2 linked regions of the Alligator mississippiensis genome follow. The protein of the gene in region 2 binds, or shares a complex with, the protein of the main gene of each other region. Links are inferred from orthologs where the notes say so. Each region holds a gene or a part of one and is shown on either strand. Other genes may lie near its edges. The genes, in order: F9 and SERPINC1.

What was found.
Region 1: the proteins of SERPINC1 (region 2) and F9 are in contact, whole or in part, in a crystal structure (PDB 3KCG), measured with the Homo sapiens proteins. The link is inferred for Alligator mississippiensis from reciprocal best matches to the Homo sapiens genes SERPINC1 and F9. Residues at the interface, in NP_000479.1 of Homo sapiens: Glu264, Asn265, Arg267, Glu269, Met283, Met284, Tyr285, Glu287, Met347, Val349, His351, Val420, Val421, Ile422, Ala423, Gly424, Arg425, Ser426, Leu427, Asn428, Pro429, Asn430, Arg431; in NP_000124.1 of Homo sapiens: Lys247, Val248, Asp249, Ala250, Phe251, Cys252, His267, Cys268, Glu270, Glu285, Tyr312, Arg358, Phe360, Lys362, Gly363, Arg364, Ser365, Leu367, Lys387, Phe388, Asp405, Ser406, Cys407, Gln408, Gly409, Asp410, Ile429, Ser430, Trp431, Gly432.

The regions. Positions count from the first base shown.
Region 1 is NC_081831.1:78,789,030-78,799,927, forward strand, and holds the start of F9 (coagulation factor IX), read right to left. Parts: upstream 4,143-10,898; 5' UTR 4,117-4,142; coding exon 4,050-4,116; intron 854-4,049; coding exon 690-853; intron 343-689; coding exon 318-342; intron 1-317. UniProt on the Homo sapiens protein: Factor IX is a vitamin K-dependent plasma protein that participates in the intrinsic pathway of blood coagulation by converting factor X to its active form in the presence of Ca(2+) ions, phospholipids, and factor VIIIa.
Region 2 is NC_081828.1:47,940,041-47,951,149, forward strand, and holds the start of SERPINC1 (antithrombin-III), read right to left. Parts: upstream 4,381-11,109; 5' UTR 4,127-4,380; intron 1,161-4,126; 5' UTR 1,157-1,160; coding exon 776-1,156; intron 1-775. UniProt on the Homo sapiens protein: Most important serine protease inhibitor in plasma that regulates the blood coagulation cascade. AT-III inhibits thrombin, matriptase-3/TMPRSS7, as well as factors IXa, Xa and XIa. Its inhibitory activity is greatly enhanced in the presence of heparin.

The sequences.
Region 1 (10,898 bases), on a different chromosome or scaffold from region 2:
CCAGATGGCTAAAACTTGCAGCCTGCTACCTGACCGGTTGCACCAAATGAACAGGAAATAGTCTGTGGAAGAGTCTTCCTCTATAGAGCCTTTTGCAACCTGTTCTTATTTTGGGTTTTATCTGTAAACAGGACACACAAATGCCAACTCGTTATACTTGGCATGAAGAACGCTGACTGGTTCTAATGGAAGCTGGGTTTCAAACAATAGGAAATGTTCTTTCAAAGGACATCTGTCTCTCTTGTGACCTGGGCATATGCTGAGACATGATTATAGAACGACTAGGTTTTAAAATGTGAAAGAAGCAAATTTCTTACCAAGGTACCCTTTCCAAAACTCCATCTACAAAGAAAAAACAATATTATTAATCTCATTGTTTCTTTTTTTTTCTTTTCAAAACTGAACTACAGAATGAATAAAGAGGATAAAGGACTAGCAGGTAAAATCTTTGAGGGCAGAAATCCCCCTAATGAAAGGGACCAGCTTAGCTATAAAGGCTTAGATAAGACTCAAGTGGGCATAAGGGCAGCCAATATTTTTCATACAGAGGCAAATGGCGGCTTTTAGAAAATATATGGGTTTTTCTCCCATACGAAGGGAAGTACACCTTCTCCTTCCCCTGCACTACCCTCACCACGACTAGCAGGACAGAAGTGATGTTTCTGTTGCTCTGCAGTAACAATACTCACCGTCTTTTCCTCGTTTTCGAAAACTTCTCGTGCTTCTTCATAACTGCATTTTTCTTCGATGCATTCCCTCTCGAGGTTCCCTGAAACAACCTCCTCCAGCCTTTTGGAATTGAACCTCTTTTGCCTAGGCAAAACTGAGCTTGCTTGTTGGTTATCGATAAAAACTACAATATAAAAAAATACATTATGATACATTCTCTTCCCTAGCTTAGGGAAATTGTAATTACATATTCAGGAAGAGGGCTTTTACCATAACTCTGGGTCTGTTCTGAGCTTTGAGTCCTTTCTTTGGGTCTGTTCTGAGCTCTGAGATATAGCCATAGTAATTGTAACATAAGGGCACAGACCAGGAGTACACCATTGGAAGGAAAAAAAACCAAACATCTCATGACAAACTCAAGTCAATAAGGCTTATTTATCTTCCTGTATGGGATAAGCCATACTATTACGATCACATTTTTATACTGGTATAATTATGGTGTAATGGAGCCAAAGGAATACAACTTGTTTTTAGACCAAGTGAAAGTCCTTTCCATCCAAACACTGTCCCTGACCATTTTTTGAAGGCAGAGTAGATTTGCACCTTGGACTACTCAAACTAGATGATATATAGCACAAGCTTTTGTGAGCTGAAGTAGAGATATATCCACTTTGGTTCATCTAAGGTACAAGTCTGTCCTACCTTCAACTTGACTTCAGACTAACATGGCTAACTATGGCTCTCTTGACCAATTTTTCCAAAGTACTAACCACCAGGGAACTATTTTACCATGACTATCCCTACCTCCGGCATGTATGACCTCTTTGTGTGTTAACAGCTGTTACTAAACGAGAGCAAGTTGTTGATCAAGTACTTTGCAGTCCGATTCTCAAGGCTCCTCCTTGTTACTAATAACAGATGTACAGGGAAAGCCCTTAGAGCCTCTCACTGTCGCTGGAAGGTACTGTAGAGCAGCTCTACGTAGCGTGGAAGTTGGTCATTATATCTACGGTTCAACATTTTCATGTACTTTCTTGTCTACATAAAAGGTTTGTGCTAGAACAGATTTTTGCATGAATATTCTGCGCCATTGGAGAGTTGAAGAGAAGAAGCTCGGTGAGAGAAGCAGGAGGAGACTTCAAAGAGTGGCTGTTAGGCTCTAAATGAGATCAGCAGAGTGGAGTTGATCCAAAGCCCTTGGAAATCATGCCGGAAAAAACTCCCGTTAACTCAGCTAACATCTTACTCTAGAAATAACTGCAGTGAACTCCAGTGGAAGTATTCTGGATTCGTACCATGTAACTTCCTGCAAGTGGCAGTCCCAGTTGTTCTTATTACTTAAACTTAGTTCATACAAGGTTACTCTCTCATTTCTTGCACCGATACTTGCTTTCAACTGAAAACATCAAAATGGGCACAGCGAGCATTAAAAAATTGATCTTGATGGAAGCATGTGACCTTGGATATTAATAGAGCAACAAATTGTTCTTCGAAGCAGCCAGTTTCATAGCTACCAGAGAATTGTGCCTCTTTGGCTAGTAACCTTCTGATAGCAACGGCTCTTTGCATTTGGGAGAAGGATCGAAAAGTAGTTCGCTTCTTTTCTTGGAGCTGAAGTTTTGACCGTTGATTTGTGTAACTCTTGACCAGCTCGTACTCCAAATGCAAAGGCAATTTGGGTTAACCTAGCCTCAATTCAACATTGCAGTATGGGAAAGAGAGGCGTTCAGTCACTCAGGTGAAACAGATCCCCGCTCTCCTGTCTTCCTGTCCTGCCCAGCAGCTGCCAGATGGTGCATCCTTCTTCCTAGTAGGGAAGTCTGCTCTTTGGCCCAACAGTTCTCTTGCCTATGCTCACTATCAACACCGACATTTTTATAAGATCATGCTCGTTGCTCAACCCTTTCACTATTACTGACACATTCCCTGGCTAAACCAAGCCCATGGGGAGGGAGAGGGGGCAGGTGGAAAGGACATCATGCAAGTCTTGGAATGAATGCATGGGATTGCAGAAAGGGGGCCGGGTTTCATGAGGGACCTTGGTTGGTGGGATGCCTGCCGATTAAGGAATACAAGGGGGCAGTTAGGTTTCTAGCAAACATGCTGGGGTATGTCTATGCTGCAGAGTTTAATGCAGGGTAGGGATATGCAAGGGAGCTCACGTACCAGAAGCAATCTAGCCAGCACTCAGTAAAGGTCTCTCTCCTCTGGCTCTGCCTGCTACACCGTTTACAGCCATAAAACAGGACCACCCATCAATTCTGGGTTGTCTGAACAGCCTGCTGCCCCCCAACATCAGGGGCTTGGTCTCCCTCTCTCTCTTATCTTCCTTCATAGTCTGTACCTCTCAAAAGGAAGCAGGATTGTGCCCATTCGTGCGTCTCCCCAGGCCTTTCTGAAGAGTTTTTGACCTATAGGTTCCCCTTTGATAACTAGGTTTGGAGCCGAAATATTTGGCCTTGATCCACCCTGTACAATGATGGCTCATAGGAAAGTTTTGTTTCTTGATTGTTTAAAGCAACTCACTACTTTTGAATGCCTGGGAGAGTTGGAGTTCCTGTTAAAGCAATGATAGGGGTTTTGCTTAGTTTAAAAAAAAAAAACCCAAAAAACAGATTAAAGTAGAATTTTTCAACAACCAATGCTGTTGGTAGAGTTTCTACTCCCAAATGAGAGATGCTGTAGCAGACTCCCCATGTATTTACTCCAGTTGCATTCATTCTCAGGAACCCTGCTGAGCTCTGAACAAAAAGGCTATCCTTGTAGGAACCAAACACCTTCCTCTGATTTGAATGTGCATTAATTCAAGTAATTTAGATCATGCAGAACTGGATACCAGCTCAGGGTAATATGGTTAGTCGTCGGAACCGCTTAACAAACACCACTTGCCCTTCTTTTTCGCTTCTTAATTTGGTCTGCATGTGGCATTTAACAACCTTCAAACAGGAAATCCAATGAGTATTTTATATGCTTCAGTATTACTCAGTCTGTTCGTTCCCAGATTCAAATACACAAAGGGTTTGGAAGCTAATTTGTAAATCTCTTTTTTTTTTTCATTAGTATTAAAAATGACTGAATCTAGAGCAATTCCTTAGCACAAAGTCATAATGGTGCTTGGAATGTCCCATTCTTTAAGTAAAAAGGACCCAAGGGCTTAATTTCATCACCATAAAAAAAAAAAAAAATCCAATTTTTTTTGTTCTCAAGAGCTGCATTTTGAAATGGAAAACCAATCAAATTCAGCAGCCTGACTCCGCAATTTCTTATTGCTGGTAAACTCTCCCTTATCAAATGACACAATGTGCTTTTATCTATGTCAGCAGCAAAAGAAAGAAAAAAAAAAAAAAAGCAAAGGACTTGGTAGGTTTAAAACAACCAACCTGAACATTCAGCCTGAAGAAACAATCCCAGAAGACAAACGGAGACTGAGAGAGTGAGTTTTGCCATTTTTTTTGTCTTGCACAACGCAACCCTTTCTGCTAGGAACTTGTGCACACAGAGAGGCTGGGTCGATCCGGTCCAAAGTGCAAGCGCTTGTTTGCTTGCTTTGAGTAACCCTTTAATTTAAGGTTCCCACACATGCGTCAGGTGAGGACTCTGAAATGGCAGAGGGGTCTCGAAATGAGGAGCAACCACAGCAAGCTTGCTCTGAATAGGTTTCTTGTAGCATTTCCGTTGTTTCTCCTTTGGGATGGTCCCTGCTGGGGAGGGGACTGAGACTGGCTTGAAGAAGAAAAATAGTTCACATCGGGTGTAGTGAATCCGGCTCCAGTAAGATCGGGAACAGACATTCAATAAACCAATTTAACCTAAATTGGTTCAGTCTGATACTACATCTCTCCTGGTTTATCATAAACCAGTTTCAGCCATTATGAAAGCAGTTCATGTGCACTGAACTTCTGTTGAGTTACAGATTGGAACCGGTTTCTGATCACTTATACTGGTTTATGTGTAACTTCTGTCCCTAGCCTAAACGACTAGGTTTATTTGAATAGCTTGATCTCTGTGTTCGTGGTGTTGCTAGCAGTACATGGAAATGAAATGCGTATTTTGGAAACATGCTGTGAAGCAAGCGCATGAAACTGAGCCCAGGCCAGAGGAATATGCGATCGCTTCAGTCAACCAGGCAGAGCAAGGTTCACTTGACCATGTGAAACAAAGGGTGATACTTGGCCCATCCAGATGAGAGCTGGCCCCCTGGAAAGCATTGGCAACATCTGAACTGGCATCAGCGGGGCCAGGATTTCACCCCAGAACAACATAATGGGGCTCTCAATGAACCTGGTCCAGCTAGGGTTTGAGGCACGTGATGCAGTCCCTGAAGAAGACGGCCGAAAGGCAGGGATAGATGGGGCAGGGCTGGAGGTGGAAGGGGGACTGTTATTCTGTAAATGGTTCCTAACCCTGGCACTATTCACCTTATCTCCTCTGCCAGCACTGTTCACTGAAGTGGTCCTAGCCCCCACTGCCTTGTGGGTGCTCCTTGGTTGGAGAAAGGTTAAGGGATGTCATCCTGCCAGAAACATGTCCTCACTGAGGAATTAGGCAGTCGGCAGCAGTTCTTATCTGTTGCTGTCTGGCAGAAGGTACAACCATCAAGGCACTGAACATCTGGACTCAATCTTGCCTTTGGGCTCCGTCTCTAAGGTCTAAAGGAGAGATGGGCAACCTCCATACTCTTGCCTAGGCATACGCATCAAAGGTCTTGGTGTGGTGGCCACAGGACTCCATACGAGCAGATACATCGGGCATCCAACTAGACTGCTTACACATACACCATGATCCAGAGGACTGGCAGACAGTTGCCTACTTTTATCTACCGAGATACCAGCTTTGAAACCCAGCCTTGGTTGTGGGTACAAGGAACACCCCTCTTCTTTTGTCTTTGCACCTTTTGGACAAGGGTGGAGGGAGTAATTTGAGTTAGCTGCCATTCAATTAATTCAGTTGATTTGAGTTAATTGCCATGCATGTCATGACCGGCCCTTGCCTGTATTGATGCAAGTCAAAGCTCGGGACAGTCGGACCCAGGATAACCAAGGTCTTTTTTTAGCCTCGGTCAGTTTGATCCCAGGGTTATCACCTAGTTGCCAGGCAGTGTAATAGTCCCTACAGCTTGGGAGAGAGCTTTGTGTGTGATCCTTTCTATCAAGTAAAGTTTGCCGTTCAGTAAAAACTGGGATAAATTATTGTGTAATTGTCATATCCTTTACTTGAGACGGGAAGAGCTAAGTGATGATAGTGGACTGAAGCTCATCATCTGATGATTTATAAAAGGAGAGGAGCTTGAAGAGGGGATTTAACAGGCTTCACTGTTTTTGTTGTTTTTTTTGGGGGGGGGGGGTTTCCAGAAGAGATGGATATTTTATTTTTGACACCACAATATAATCCTGCAGCATGTTTCACCCCATGAGTGCTTACAAGCAGCCAGCTTGATTCAGTATGAAACGAAATATGTAAAGTATTGGATCAGCTTGTATCCTGCAGGGTAGAGAATGGGCCGTTACTTGCTTTGAGACTTTGCCTCTCGAGTGTCTGGAAAAGTATGTGTTTGAGCTAACAAATCATAAATTCTGTTCACGGTGCCTGCAAAATGTAACAAATGGTCCTTCCCCAAGCATATGAGGGACATTTATGGTTGTGTAGGTGTTTGGGAATCACTTTTTGTACAAAGAAAGGACTGATAAATGGCAGATTAAAACAAGAGGCCTCCACTTGAGCTATGGGTTTATAAGCTCTCTTATGCTTTGCCAAGAAAAAAGGAATCCTTTCTTTATTTTTGAAAGGCAACATTTTTATCTTGCTTTGTTTTACAGTATCTGAAATAGTTTGCATTTGCCGCAGGCACGCCGTTTCAGAGGGAGTGTTACAGATTTGCTACTGTAGGTAGAGGAGGAAAGATGCGTTCATGTATCTGCGATGAAGCTACCTTGGAGTAACTATGCACTTGTACCGTTGTGATGGAAATGCAATGCAAAGTAGAGGGTAAAGGCCATTTCTCATTTCTTGCATATGAATACATGTGAATGTGATGGGGGGAGGCGGGGAAAGAAGCAAACTGGTATGAAATAGTGAAATAATATGCCTTGGATCAATAAAAGGAAAGTGGAGAGTAGCCTGCTTTAACAAACCAAGCAAAATTAGATTATCATTCTACAGCATTTTTTTTCACAACAGCACAGGACAGGTAAATTATTTCTGTTTTTTATGGTGCTAGCAAGATCTGCAACATTAATGCTATTTAATCTAAAAGAAAATGCCTGCACAATTGGAACAAACAAGGCCATTAATATGTCCAAGCCTAGAGCCTGCTGCTACCGCTCTCCATCTTTGTGGTATCCAATGCTAACAAAGAGTTTCCTCTGTGTTTCTGTTGCAAACAGTTCCCAGTGCTGGGATCAGCCCTCAATAAATGCTTTGGAGAAGAAAGTATTGTTGTGATGTTGGATTACCGAAATTAAATATTGATCCAGCTTAATTCAGATTTATAATATTAACGTTCTCAAAGGGGGACTACTTAAAATTCAAAATTAAGTACTGCGTTCTTGGAACTTGTTAGAGCTGGCTGAATAAATCTGTTTCCTACTTGGGCTTTTCCTTGGCACATCAACAACTTTCCACTGTTTTTTGCAAAATGCAACTTGGTTGTCAAGCCCATTTTCAGATTGAAAAGGTCAGGCTTGCTATTTGGAGCTCTCACTGGGACTGACCAGTCCTCCGAAACAGTCTTGTCAACGGCTGTTGGAATTGAAGTCTCGCAGAAATGTTTTGGCACTGCTGAAGTAATAGCGTATTTTGATGGAAAACTATTTGGTCTGCGATGTTCTCACCCAGACTAGTTTCAATGGGCTTCCTTAATGTCGTAACATACCTTATCTAAGTCCTCTTGATATCTGCTTGCTTCCTACTACTATTTTAGACATTCAGGGATTTTGCAGATTTGACTTTTGTGATTAAAGTCTACTTTATTCAAGATCTGTGTTGGAATCTGTTGTATTCCTTTTTTAAAGAGTGCTTCTCAACCTTTTTTGTACCAGGACCCATTTGTAAACATCAATGACCAGTCCTGACCTGGTGCCCCTCACTCCCAGCCTGCAGCCCCCTGCCCCAGCTCCCCACTGTGTTGGGCAGGGAGTGGGTGCACGGGGCGTAAGGGGTCCCCAAGCAGCCCCTTGCAGGCTGGAGCTCTGCCAGCCTATAAGGAAAACCTGCAGTTTCTCACAATTTTCTCCTTTTTAAAGGAGAATCCATTTTTAAAGTTTGTTCATGACCCTTCCATGTATTTGGGTTGCAACCCAAAGGTTGAGAAACATTGCTTTAAAGTATACAAACCGTATTGTATACATCCCTCTCTGAATTCCCGTTGAGAGTTCAGAGACGGATGTGTGTGCTGAAAGTCATTAGGATGTGGAAGAGAAGAAAGTGCAATCTCTATAGTTAAGGGGCCATATTCATCCATGTGAGTCCCTCTTCTACCTGTAGAGGGAAATCCTGGCTGCTGGGAAGTCCACAAAAGTTTTTTGTCATTGATTTCCAGCAGGTCAGGATTTCCCCTGTGGAGTTCACACTGGATGGAGATGAAACTAAGGTGAAGAGGGCTTTCCCCAGGCATGAATGCAATAGGAAGGAATATTGACCCCCTCAACTTAGAAATCCCAGGAAATTTGTGGCATCTGACCCCAGTTGTATCCCCTGCCTAGTGCAGGGGGGCTGGACAATGCAAGGTCCCTTCCAGCCCCTAACATCTATGAATGTGTGCCTGTATTTCCACTATGCCACCAGTGACCATTGCAACCTTGCTAGCCTCCATGGCAACTTGGCTTCCTTGAATTTTCCCTTTCCTGTCGGTAGAAGACTTCCCCATTGCAGGAAGAGAGCATAGGGGTTCAGTCCTGTTGGAAAAAATTGTAAGGCCACAATTTTCTTCAGAAAGGTGGAGTCGTCATCAAAAATTGAAGCTAGACTTGCAGCAGAGCTCATGTTGGTCACTGAGTGATTCCAAAAAAATGGCATAATATAACCCGAGGGACCTGCTGGGTAGCAAAACTTGAAAATCCCATCCCTGCTTTATCAGATACCCACCTATGAGGCTTACCTGGGGGGAATTAAGCCCCTGAGACAGTGTTCTTCTCCTAGCTGAAGTTCTGGGTGAAGGAGTGGACCATGTTTGCTGACTGCCTTGTAATAACTCTTCATTTTCCAACCAATGTTCTGTGCCATTCATGAGCTAGATTTTGACTACCTTCACAAGGTCTTTTCTGGCAGCTAGTAAGGAAAATGGGTCTGGGTCTCTTCATACCCAGAGCAGTCTCTCTCTAGTGTTGTTTGATTGACCACAGTGGAATTGCAGCTGAGGAAGGAAAGGAGCAGTGGACTCCACAGGAGTTCATCCAGTTAACTTCGGTGGGAGTAGAACAGATCTCAGGGCTGTGACCCAGCTATACCCATAATATTCTGTCTTGAATTTGCCTGCACAGTTGTTGGTGAGGGCAGGTCTTGGGCTGATATATTGGATTTGATGTTCTAGGAATGTACACCTTGCCCTCTGAGAAATGCTAGTGAGCGATGGGAACAATTATCTTGACGAGCAGCAATGCACAATTGCACTCAACTCTGAGTCGCTGCTTCTTTGAGGCAATGGGCCTTGCACTGTGCATCTCCATTGCAAAGAGAAATTAAGTTATAACAAGACAGCACAGGAGAATTATTTCCATTTTAATCCTTAGCTCTTCTGCTGTGTTTTGACTACACTGATCAAATGTGCACAGAGCCTGCTGAAATGAAGAGCCTATTAAAAGATTGCTCTTTAGCTAAACACTTTTTTTTTGTTAAAAATGAATCAATTTGCGTTTGCCCTCTAGGACAGCTATGCTATATAACTTTTCATTAACTGAGAAGCAAACAAACCATATTTGGATAACAATGAAAGCCTTGCTTAGTTTTTTTTTTAAGTTTTTTTTTATTTTGCTCTCTGCTTAATTACTTGAAAGTCAACAGCTCTTCCCTAAGCAAGGACTACAAATGTTATACAAAAAATGAATCACCTTGCATCGCTCTTTGTGTCAGTCTTTTGCAATGTCTGTCACTTTATAGTACAGTGCTTATGTTGCAATGATTAACTTACCAAGGGAAATCATTGGTTGGTGTAAATTGTTGCGTCTCCCTTGAACTCAATGGAAGGATGTCTATTGAAGTCAGTGGAGCTAAAACAATTTATACTAATTGGGGATCTGCCTCTAGGTCTTGTATCAATTGAAAGCTGAAAGAAAAAAGGGAAGTGCCGAACCATGGCACTGCTAGATGGAGTTTAGCATCCTGATTTTTGTCTGCATTTTTGTTTTCATTGCAAATAGAGGCGACACCATAGGCATCTTGGAGGAATACACCCCGTGCAAAGAGCTTGCACAGGTTCCATGCCGTGTTGAAATCCCCCTTGGATCTTCAAAATAGGATCAGCGGTGCGTGGAATTTGTGCTCGTTCTTCTGCACAGGTGTGAATCTCAACCTCTTGAAATAAAATATATAAAAACAGGTCTGATATTTGGGAAGATGAGCCCTTATTGCAGATTCTTGTAGTATTATGTTGTTCTACAATGGGCAGTTCGCAAGATTAGGTGACTATTTATCAATGATCTTACCTCCATAGGGATGAAGGTATAAGGGAAGACTGTTTGCAAGGGTGGAAGACAACAACTGTTGGAGGAACTCAACAGTATTGGCTCAGAGCTCCTTTGCACTTGAAAGGTGTGGGGCCTTCTCTGTTTCTTGGGGTTGGTCCTGCATACCCTTTCTAGCTCAAGGTTTCCATTCCTAGTTTCAGACACGGTTGTTCTACTTGTATGGAGGTCTTTGTGCTTATGCCAAAGAAACACTCTTTTTGAGTTCCCTCAAGATATGTCCCTGCTCCTTAGCCCTTTGGTTCCATCCTTCCCATCTTCATCAGTTTTTAATTAGACTCTGTATAGGATAGAGAGCAAAAGCTACTTTCATCTGGGAGATACCATGGCTGTGAAATATTTACAGGAAGTAAATAGCTGTCAGAAAGTAAAGAAGTCACCGACTCTTAAGAAGTGTAAAACGGCTTTGAAATTGTCTCTTTCAAAGAAAGCTGCTCTGGCTGGGTGATGGTGAGGACAGGCAAGGCAGGCACAAGCTCCCCAGCAAAATGGGTAAACACAATTACTAATTCATTGGTGTTGGGCATTTGGCTCTAGCTCCTATAACTTTCT
Region 2 (11,109 bases):
GTGGGATTATTACAGGTAAGTAAGCAGAAAAGTCACATGGTGGCTAGTACAGAAAGGGTTGGTAGGATAGACAAGGACTACATATCTCCCCATTGTTGCAAAGTCCTGGAGGTCAGGAGGTGAGCCTCCTGCAAAGAACAACCAGTGCTGTTAATTTATTGATGGGGCTTTTGTCTAAACAAAAAGTTCAGCCTGGGGTCTCTGTTCCATCCCTTCCTCCTCATCCCACGTAAACCAGGGACTGCATTGTTCCAGCTGCATTTTTGCACTTATTTCAATAAGAACATCCCACACTTCGACTTCTGCATAAGGATGGTGGAAATAGGGGGCCTTTAGCACAAACCCTGCTCCAAGGTCTGATTGGCTTCCCTCAGCTTCCTGTGTAGAGGCCTATCCCTGCTCATCTAACTGCCTAGGTCCAGAAGAAAAAAGTATTCACCTTCCTTCCTCACATCCAAAGCAGGTTTCTTCTCCTCCAGATGGAGGCTATAACCTATGCATCAGCATGTGCACCAGAAGAATCTACTTGGATCACTGGAGAAGGGTTTGGATTACAGAAACCCAGAGGGAAGTAGTCTGGGTCATCCTCCAGAAGGGTCCTTGTCAGAGACCTGTTTAGCAGAAGGGTCTGTCTCTCAAAAGCTGGGGTTACAAAGGAGGTGATCTGAGCAAAGGAGCCATTAAAAGAGAGAGCTTTATTATAAGCAGCTAGCATTTGGCATCTTTGTTCTAACTTAAACCACAAGGACTTGGAAACTGAGGAGATGCCACTGACCTCCATAAGCTGCTGGAGAGTGTCACCACAGGCACCGAGCTTGGTCATGGCAAAGGCTGTGGAGATACTGAGGGGCGACATGAAGATGTTTCCCTGGTCACTCTTGGAGTCTGCCATGTACTTGTAGAAAATAACGGCAAAGCGGGAGTTGGCCTTTGACAACTCCCAGACCCGACGGTTAGTAAATTCTGGGATCTTATCCTTGGCTTGATCTGCCTCTGGCCCTTCGCCCTCCTGTGGTTTCTTCTCAGGGTTACGGTAAATGCAAATAGGATTCACAGGAATGTCCTTTGGCTTTGCGGTACAGATGTCTTCCACCCGATGTTGCTGGGGAGCAACTGCTCCCCACATACTGATGATCAACACCACAAAGAGATGCATCCTCCTGAAACCAGAAAGAAATGTTACAATCCAGGTGGGAGCCCTGCTCTGGAAGCCATCACTCCGAATAGGCTCCTCAGTGTCATCCTCTCATTTCAATTCTACCTACAGGTTAGGTTATGGAGTAAGGTAATCCATGTCAAGGATGCTATCCTGGTTTGGGCTTTCCAGATGTTGGAAGTGGGACTGATGGACAGGCAGCTAGAAATATCTTGCAGTGGTGAAATAACATACATAGCTCAAACAGCTGTCTATGAAGGTGGAAATTCAAATTCCCTTTGGAAAGGCTTGCACACCTCTCCTTTTATACAAAGGGTGCCTGTTGTATAACTTGAAGTATGGACAGATGTCCATATGGCACTATAGATATTGATCAGATAGATGACTCTGTGTCATAGTGCTATAAATTAGTCAGAACTCTATAAAATGACTCTTAGTGAAACAGGAATAACTCTGAAGTGCTTCACAGTGATGCTATCACTGGGAGGCAGCTGTATAATGATATGCTACTGAAATGCTGCAAAAAAAGTGCTTTCAAAAAGGCAGAATTTGAATTGTTCTATATATATGTCTGTCTATAGGCTGTCTGGACTTTCTTTGATGTTTTCTACCTGTCAAGCTAGAGTCCCAGAGCAAAAACAGAGCTTGCCAAAACAATGGCCCAGTGCCTGGTGTCCAGTTGTTGCACAAGATGTAGAACACATATGATTAACAGCAATTCAATAACAGATATAGGGGAAAGTGCTGTCCTAACCCAGCGTTTCTTTGGGCAATATCTTTTATTGGATTAACTGCATAGAGTAGATTAGGGGGAGAAAAAGTTTCTCAATCCTCCCCAAAGTTCTCCTGCATGGTTGTGTTGCATATATGGAATCATATATGTTAGCTAAAGGTTTGGGATGATGAAGCGCTGAAGAAGAGAGGTAAAACGTCCACTAATTTCAAACCCGAGGTGGGGGAGGGGGGAAGCAGATAATTTCATGCCTAGACACTTTCCAGGAACCTTTTCGAGTGTCAGCAGGGTTGACTTAGCTTGGCCTTTCATACATCATAACTACAAAGTGTGTACTACGTGGCTGTTCAGCTATTGTGAACACCTGATACAGATGAAACCTCAGGGGAAAAAAAATCTTTCCCAGAGGTGAGATTTGTCATGTACAGTGAATGATCCCTGATCACTTCAGACAATAATCTGCCCTGGAAAGCTTGGCAAAGTATATCCCTTCTTCTTCCACTGATGTGCTAATTGCTGTTTGATGAGCAGAGTCCATCCCTGTAGAGACTGCACTGCATATAGAAGTTAGAGAGTGCTTTGAAATTCTTACAGGACTAAGTGTTTTAGAAAGGCATATAATGCTTTTATGTTGACTGGATTCTGGCAAGAGAATGAAGTACATACAACTTTTTTAAATCTGCTTTCTTTCTTTCTAACCCAGTCCTGGAGGAAGGCAGTGAATTACTGAGTCAGCTCAACATTGCAGTTTCAGGCAGTCTCCTGCATTATTAATAGGGAAGCTTAGTAGAGTCAATGTAGCAGGGAAACTGAGTTATGCTAAGGCTTTTAGCCATAGTCCAGGCCTTTCCAGAACTAAGCAACACAATTGAACAGAGGGCCTTCTGTGGTGCTGGGAGATGTGAGGGCTGAGACTGGGCAGCAGGCAAGCAAGGGACAGCAGTTTCCCTATAAGGAATGCGGCTAGCACAGTGCCAGGGGACTGGTGCACCATATAAGGAATGCTTGGCACGAAGCCAAGGGATTGGACAATTTGGGAGGAGAGTAGTTACAGAAGTGATGGACAAACAAAGGAACACACATGTATTGTGTTGCCACTCTGGGGAAATAGGAACAACTTTGGACTTCTTGTTTGAACGAGGAATCCAGAAACTAACATCCCGCACACCCAGCAGAGGATCTGAGGCCGGTACCACCAAAGGTCACTGCTGTAAAGCCTGAATGAACTGCTTGGCAGGTCATATTGCAAGGAAGAATACTTGTAATAAGTCTAGGGGTTACTATTAAAAGTTCACTTGATACCAAATCGGATAAGGGGCCATGTCAATCCTTGGGGGTCTCTGGTAAAAGGAATCCTAGGGGCAAGTCAACACCCAGAATGAAGCATAATGAGAACCTTTTCCCTCCAACCCCAAACGGTACGTGCCAGAGTCAGGCTGCAAACATTAGTCTCTTCCCACTGCTGTAATAGTTACTTTTGCTCAGCATTATTCTCTCCTAACAAAAGGGCATCAGGCATTAGGGTTATAAACCTATGGGGGTTGGAAGGTTATTGTAGCATGGCAGTCCGGGAAACAGAGACTAGGCTTTTTTGTTGCATCTTTTATTGGATCAACAGTATAGTAGGGAGAGCTGTTAGACAACCTGGAGGGGCACCTGATGCCTGAAACAGCTCTCCCAACTATATATCACCAAAAAACCCCCCTCGACTCTGAACATAAATCTATGGCTAATTTGCTAGCAAGCACGACCTGTTGGACTCAGTATACAGTTCTCTCCAGACCATGTCCAGGGGAGCTACTTGAGTCCAGTAAGCTTTGATTTGAGGAGCTTCCATTGGTGTATGAAGTTCACTTTCTGGGATGTTTTATAGAAAGGGAGGACCTCCCCCCCCAGAAAGTCCTTTAAGTGAGGCAGAAAAAAGTGAGTATCAGCCAGTAGAAAATTGTAAGGATCCCTAATACATGAACTGCTTCCCACTCTGTGAAATGGTTCCTCAAAACCAAGATTTTGCAGATGTTCTAGCAAGCAAGACATGACAACCTAGATCTATGGTATCCAGGCAGAACCCTACAAAAAGAGAGCCTCAGCATCAAACACACCATCAAAGAAATCAGGACTCTCACAAACATACAAGTAGTGGTGAGGGGTTCCTAAGTTCCCACAAAGGGAAATGAATCCATGTGGAGATAGGTTAACAAACAAAAAAAACATCACTGGAACTTAAGTCCTCTTACCTGCCTCTGGTGTCTCCAATGCTTTCCCTTGAGGATGTGATACAAGATAGTAAACAGGATTTCTTTAGCTCAGGGAAAATAAAAGGGAGTCCAAACTAGTCCGTACTAGCTTCCACACTGAGTTTGTACACTTAGCCAGAGCTCAAAAGGAATGCAGGAGGGCAGGAGGTAGAGTGGGATGTCAGGGGTCAAAGGTGGATGACCAGCTAGGGAAGGTTGAGCAATGTTTAATTTAAGAGAAGTTTTGAAGTTCAACCTGATGAGAGAAAGTTTGATCAACTTCTCTAGGCAAACTGCAGGCCTGCTACCCCCCCCCCCCCCCCAGCCTATGCTGATAAAACAATGGGAGAAATGTTCAATAATTCAAATGCAGATTTAGAAAACACCTTTCTCCAGACATTTTGGTCTTCTGTAGCTCAGGATAGTAACTCTCTCCCCTACTCCTCCCAAAACAACCAGAGGCAAGATTGCTATGCTTTGCCTTCACAGGCTCCTGTCCCCAAGTTTGCACCTAATAAGCTGAAGATAATGATCCCCCCCCCCCCCCCCGCTACACACAAACAGCACTGATGAAAGCTGGGTGTTGAAAAATGTAACTTAATGACTGCAGATGCAATTCCTCTGTAATTTTAACATCATAATCACCACTTCATGAAAAATAAAAAAGAGCCATTTGGTTGGGGTTGTACACAAGTGTCAGCGCCAGAAAAAAAAATCCCTCTCTTGCTGATGAGATGCCGTGCTACTGGGTTCTGTACTGGGCCCAGTCACTTTCTGTAGAGCACATAGCTGAAAAATAGTGGCTGTTAAGCCATGCATTAGTTAAGGGGTGTGTAGATACACACTGGGAAAAGTCACTGACAAAACAGTAAGCATTGAAGGTAATGACTGATGAGAAGTCACTACCCCCAATACCGCCCCGAAGTAAATCATTTAACAACAGCCCCAATTTTTGCCATGCAGTATCAGTGCTGCAATCAGCAGTGTCTTCACATCAAAGGCCAGCAAAAAAACCACAAAAGCTATTTCCCCAGATACTACCAGAAACACACCCAGTTTTGCAAGTAAGAGACCACAGTCTCAGGAAGCACAGTTGTGTTTATTCCTGCCAAAAGGGAGATCTTGGCAAAAAACCAGACAAACTAGAATAATGCTGTCAAGCAAGTGAGCAACTCACAGATCACCCTTTTACATGCACTGATTTAAAACTCTCCCCCAGGAGAGGCGGTGCGCTATGCTATTTGCTGGATTACTTTAGTGGAGGTAACCTAGAAAGTGGGCTCCAAAGGGCTACCAGATTAGTTTTCCAAGAGGCTGAGCATCAGGTCTTGAAGATTTAGAGAAGACTGGTCCGACTAAGAACCCTTAACATTAGTGGTCTCCACTGACCATTGCAAACCTTTTAATCAGGACTGCAGCAAATTAAAACATTTCTAGTGTAGCCAAAACAAAAAAAATAAAAAAATAATGCATCTTGGCTCCTCTCCACACATTTCAAGTGGGAATTCACTGGACATGAAGATTCCCACTGGACAAGGAAATGAGGTTGGTATGACTGAGGAATTTCCAACCAACCCTCCTACAGCAAAGGGAAAAAAGATGGACTTAATACATATTGGAATACACAAAAATGTCCAGATTCCTTCCAGTGGTTGTCAGATCATTGGTGGTAGATACAAAATCCAGTGCTAGTACTGTAACAAAGCTACTGAATTTTTGTAGGACTCCAAAATTCCAGTGCACAGGCCAGACAGACTTGGAGTAATTTAGTCTACCACATGTAACACATACATGGGCAACTTCTAAGTCAAGGGGACCATGAGATACAGGCCCTGCTCTACCCAAAAACTGATTTTTTTTATTTTTAAGTGGCAAGTGCCTAGCACTTTTTTTTTTTTTTTTTTTTAAATAGCAAATGGAGGCAGAGAATCAACACAAAACTTGCATCCCTGGATGAGACACTGATTTAGCATCCAATATGAAAAATGCATCAATAAAACATTACTAGTTGTTCTGTTTGGGTCAGTGGATCAAGTAGACATTTTTGTCATGATGGAATATGTAGCCTCAAGTTGGTAATGGTGCTTTGTTGCACTAGTCATCTCAAAATTTTCAATCTTTGCAGTCCTTAGTATTTTAGTAGCTTAGAGCAAGAGGTATCAGCCATATTATTTGCCACTAAGGTCTATTCTATGCTCAGTCCAAGGGAAGGATGTTGCAAGTCTCTCCCAGTACCATTCTTGTTAGTTGGGAAGTCCATATACCATTCACTTAGGATTGCCTAGTCTAGTCAGTGTCACAAGGCTTTGCATAGGGCCACCCTTCTGTTCCCTGTACACTTGGCCCTGGTGATATCAAAGAGGGGGAAATGTAGTCTTTAAGGCAGTGTAGTATCTGTAGTTCTCCCCTCACCCCCACATCTGAAAACTGGGTTAACTTTCAGTGGAGCCATGATCAATTTAGTCTGGGTGGCTTGCAGTTCATTCAAGAATTTGGGAGAAAGTATCTGAATGTACCTGTAAGGCTTTCAGTCATTCCTTTTGAAGAGAAGGAAGAAAAAGGCATCTAAGGTTGTCTGAGGAGGCTGTAGAAATGGTGGCCATGCTCAATGGTGTTTCATGCCTTAGGTGTATTTTGCTGGATATCTGCAGGGAATTGTAGGCAGACCCAGTTCCTACAGCAGAGGACTTGGATTCCTAAGTTTAGTTTGCTGTGACATAGGTCCCATCTTGATAAGACCCTTGCCCCTATCAAATCTTCTGCCTTAATTTCTACACCCATAAAATGGGGGAAATAAATGTTCACTGCCACTAAGTCAAGTGTCAAAAGCATTTTAAACATGAAAGCTGCCAATCTTTCAGAACAGCCATCACTGCCTTCCTAAGCGACCAAACAAACTCACCATCTGATTTGGAGTATATGAAAACAGTGCACGTGCAAATGCACACACTCTTCAGACCACTGCAGTGTTTGCAGTACTCTGGGGCTCACAGACTATTTGGGAAAACAGGACCACACTGTGCGCTGCACTGTAAACATTATTCATCCTACAAGAGCTTACACAGCTCAAGTGTTATTAAGGCTATGAACAAACAGGATGGTGAGAGAACTTAAATGCAGCCATACTGACTGGCCCCATAGTTAAGAAGCTTATACATTAGACAGGAAGATGGTCATCTTGGGGCAAACATACACTGAGGGTGCCACACTTGACTTTTCCTGAATGGGAAGGGGTGGGCAAAGCAAAACTTTTGGTGAAGAAGCTGCTACCTGTTCCACAACTGATGTTCCTCATACTTCAAAAGGGCTGAAGTTTGCACTCAACTGAGGCTATCTAATGTCAACAATGGACAAGAGGACGGCGAGGAGAAAAAGAGGATATCAAAACATGCACAACAGGCTTGCGGCCAGAACTCCCCTCACTCTAAAAAAGCATAATGTAACAGGTAAAATGTTCCAGCGCTTCTTGAAGTGGTATGTTTGTCCCAGGCCTTTTAAAAGTGCAGGCTTCTGGAACAAGTAATAAAAGGATCCACTTAAAGATCACTTTATTGTTCATGTCTGGTGGATATACATGCCTCTTGCCCAAGGAAACCACTTCATTGAAAAAGAAAGGATTCATACTAAATTAGCACTGAGCATGCTTTCAGGTCTTAGCAACCAGAGAAGGAAAGGGGGAGTAGGGGAGGGAAGGGGACTTTAAAAAGGGGACACAGGCTTCTGTGCTTTTGTCAGGCATTTAATTTTCCACTGTGGTCAGGAAAGATTATATATTGCTCTGGAGAAAAATCTGTACTCAAGAGGCTCACAATGCACACTGCAATCCAGAGAGAAAATGAGAGATATTTCAAATGTGTAAGCCATTAATTTATCATTTAATATAAATGCTGACAGAAAAGCAGATAAGACCTTGTAGACACTTCCATCTATTTACAGACTGAAAGGTGAATCACCTCCTTTTTACTAATTAAAATAAATCCTTTTTATCTGCAACTCATAGGAGCCTTAAACACTATGCAGGAGTAACATGAGGCTGAGTCAGTTTCCAAAGGGAGGAAGGCAAGTTAGAGAGGAGGGAAGAAACAGCATTTCAACATATGGTGTTTTTCCACATATGGCATTTTCTATATAATCATGCACAATTTTTTTAAAACACAAAATGATAGTGTTGGGCTTATACTTAAAAAAAGAAATCACAAGGAACAATGACTTTCAAGACCAGAGCTCTTTCTTGCCTTTCCATCTGCCAATCCCCTCCCTCCTCAGCATAATGTGTGAAAAACGGTTTTTACTTAAGGTTTAAACACAAATACTGGAGGATCAAAATGCCATTGGAGCAGGATAAAGCAGGCTCTGTTGTTTCCCCCTTCGGTAATCTCAAAAGGACTTTCCAAAAGATACAAAAACTGCCATACATGCCTTTGAAGATCTCCTCCACTGCCAGCCTTCATGCATGAGATTTCAATGTTCTACTGTGCTCACAAAGAATTCACAATTTATGGAATTCCACTCACACCTTTTATTTAAATCTCTACTCTTCTTGTGTTTGGGGAGATAAGAACAATAAATATTCACAATATTCAGTAAATAGAGTTAGCTGTCCCTTTTTATGATGGGAAGAAAATGGAAGGAAAGGAGAAAAAAAAAGTCAAAAGGGATCACTTCAAAAGACAGAGGAGGGAAATAAAAAAAAAAAAAGTTTGTTCAGTACTGTTTTATAAGAACAGCAAATGGGGATCCTTATTTATACAAATTCCTAAGTAAACTCAAGAAGTCATTCATAACCTGACTCAAATCTCATGGTCTCCTTTATTATCCTAGACTATCCTTTTTTATTTTATTTTTATTGTTTTTGTTAAATATACCTCTGCAGGGCACAATCACATACAATCAATACGATTGGAAAATTACATGAGCTCTATCCCAAGCATATATGCACCAATGTTAAAAGTTATTTAAAAAACAAACAAACAAACCAAAAAAATAAAATAAACTCCACCCAAAAAGGTGATAATGACTGCAGAATGTCTCGGGGAGACTGGTATGAGCCCAAAAAAGATCAAAGAAAACTAAGTTTACATAGAAAGAGAAAACAAGCTTTTGTAGAGAAATCCCACAACTGGAAACAGGTGACTTTTAAAGTGAGGGGATGAGTGCTGGCATGCATGTTTTCTCCTGTAACTCTGTTCTCTTGCATGCCACCTCTCTCCTCTTCCCCAGAGCTGAATACAACTAGGAACTAGCTCATAACATTACTATTACCAGTTACCACAAACAGAAGAAAAAAAAAAATCAAGCTATACTGCAGCTGGTAAGCTAGCCTTCAAGGAAAGCCCCTCTTAGCATAGAAGCTGCTTACATGGCAAGCACAGGCCAAAGGGAAATGGAAACTCCTTAAATTAGAAAAGCTAAGAGTCATTTAATGGGCTATTTTGTCCACATTGCAGCAGCTCGCACTTAGGAGAGGCTGCAAAGCAATGGCATAAATTGTAAACAATGCATCAACTGTGTTGTGAATGGGGTTCTCTCTCCTCTCCCTACTCAAGTTGCTTTTTGCATGCACAGAAAGTTTCCATCACACCTAATAAAAATCTAGAATGGAGCTTGGTGCACACGTCCAGTTGTGGGATCCATCCAGTACACAATCCAGTTCAGATGCCAAAGACTTGTGAGTACTGTCTGCTACAAATTATGAATAAAATTATTTTAACATTACAAAGAAAACAATTTTTAGTTTATACCATAAACATCAGATAACTCCACAGGATTGTTTTTAAACATACATGTATTTCAGTATATCTAGTACTTTTTCCTCTTCAGGGAAACTGTATCGCATCCTTTTTTTTTTTTTCCTGTATTTTCCCAAGACTTATTTTTGTAAATATTTTACTTTTGGCCAAAAAATTCCATATCCAGAAAGAACTGGTTGTCTCGAGATGTCAAAAAAACCTGTACAATGCCAGACCCCTGTGGGCCCAAAGTGTTCAGACTTCAGTGCCTGAAGCTAGACGGCTAAATAAAAGATGCACACTTCTCAGAGCTCCCAGGCATTTGCAGCTCCCAGAGAACTTCTCAAGTAGCCTCCTGGGAACCTGCAAGCACTCAGTAATCTCTGGAGAATGGCAATTATTTATATGGCTAGACTTTATACATCCATGTCCAAACATTTTGGGCACAGTGCTTTAAAAGTTCAAACTACTGGGGGACTCTTGGGAAGGAAGTCCAGCATAGGCAGATGATGAGCCAGGTTCTCCATGCACTTCTCTGGGAGGGATCAAATGATGTTCCATCCTCTTTGCTTAGTGTTCAGAGAGCTCCCCAGCATAAAACAACTCTCACCATTCATAAGTTTTTATAAAAATATTTATAAAATATGTTCTCCTTTCTCCTCCAATCTACTGTCCATCTGTATCACAAGAATCAACTGCTTCTGAAATTCAGTGTGGCATGATTCAGAGATACAGAGGTGTTTCCCTCTACACTGCAACTGTTGCTATGACATGGCAACATCAGGAAACATTGTGTTGGAACAAGGTCCACCCAAAACCTTTGTAGGGTGACTGGAATTAACTCATGCTTTGAAACCTCTTTCCAGCATTTATCATTTGGGGAGAAAGCAAGCAATTAAAGACAGCAGCAATATGGAAAACTAGGATCAGTGTTTGATTTCCTACCTTTCATATTAAAATGTACTCAGAGTACATCAGTTTCAAAGTGAAATGAATAATCTTGGCCATGTGTACACTCACTATTAATTACAATTTCTTTTCAGCACCATAGCTACATTCAAAAGGTGTCTTAGAAATGTTGATTCATTTTCAACACAAAATTCAGAATTCACATTTAGCAAGATGGGTTTTTCTTCAGTTTACTGTTTGGATCACTGCTCTAAATGAGACTGGTAGTTCTTTAAAGGGGAAGCATCTTACAGTATAATACAAGTGTGTAAAACTTAGGAGACAGTAATGTCAAGCTCACTATCA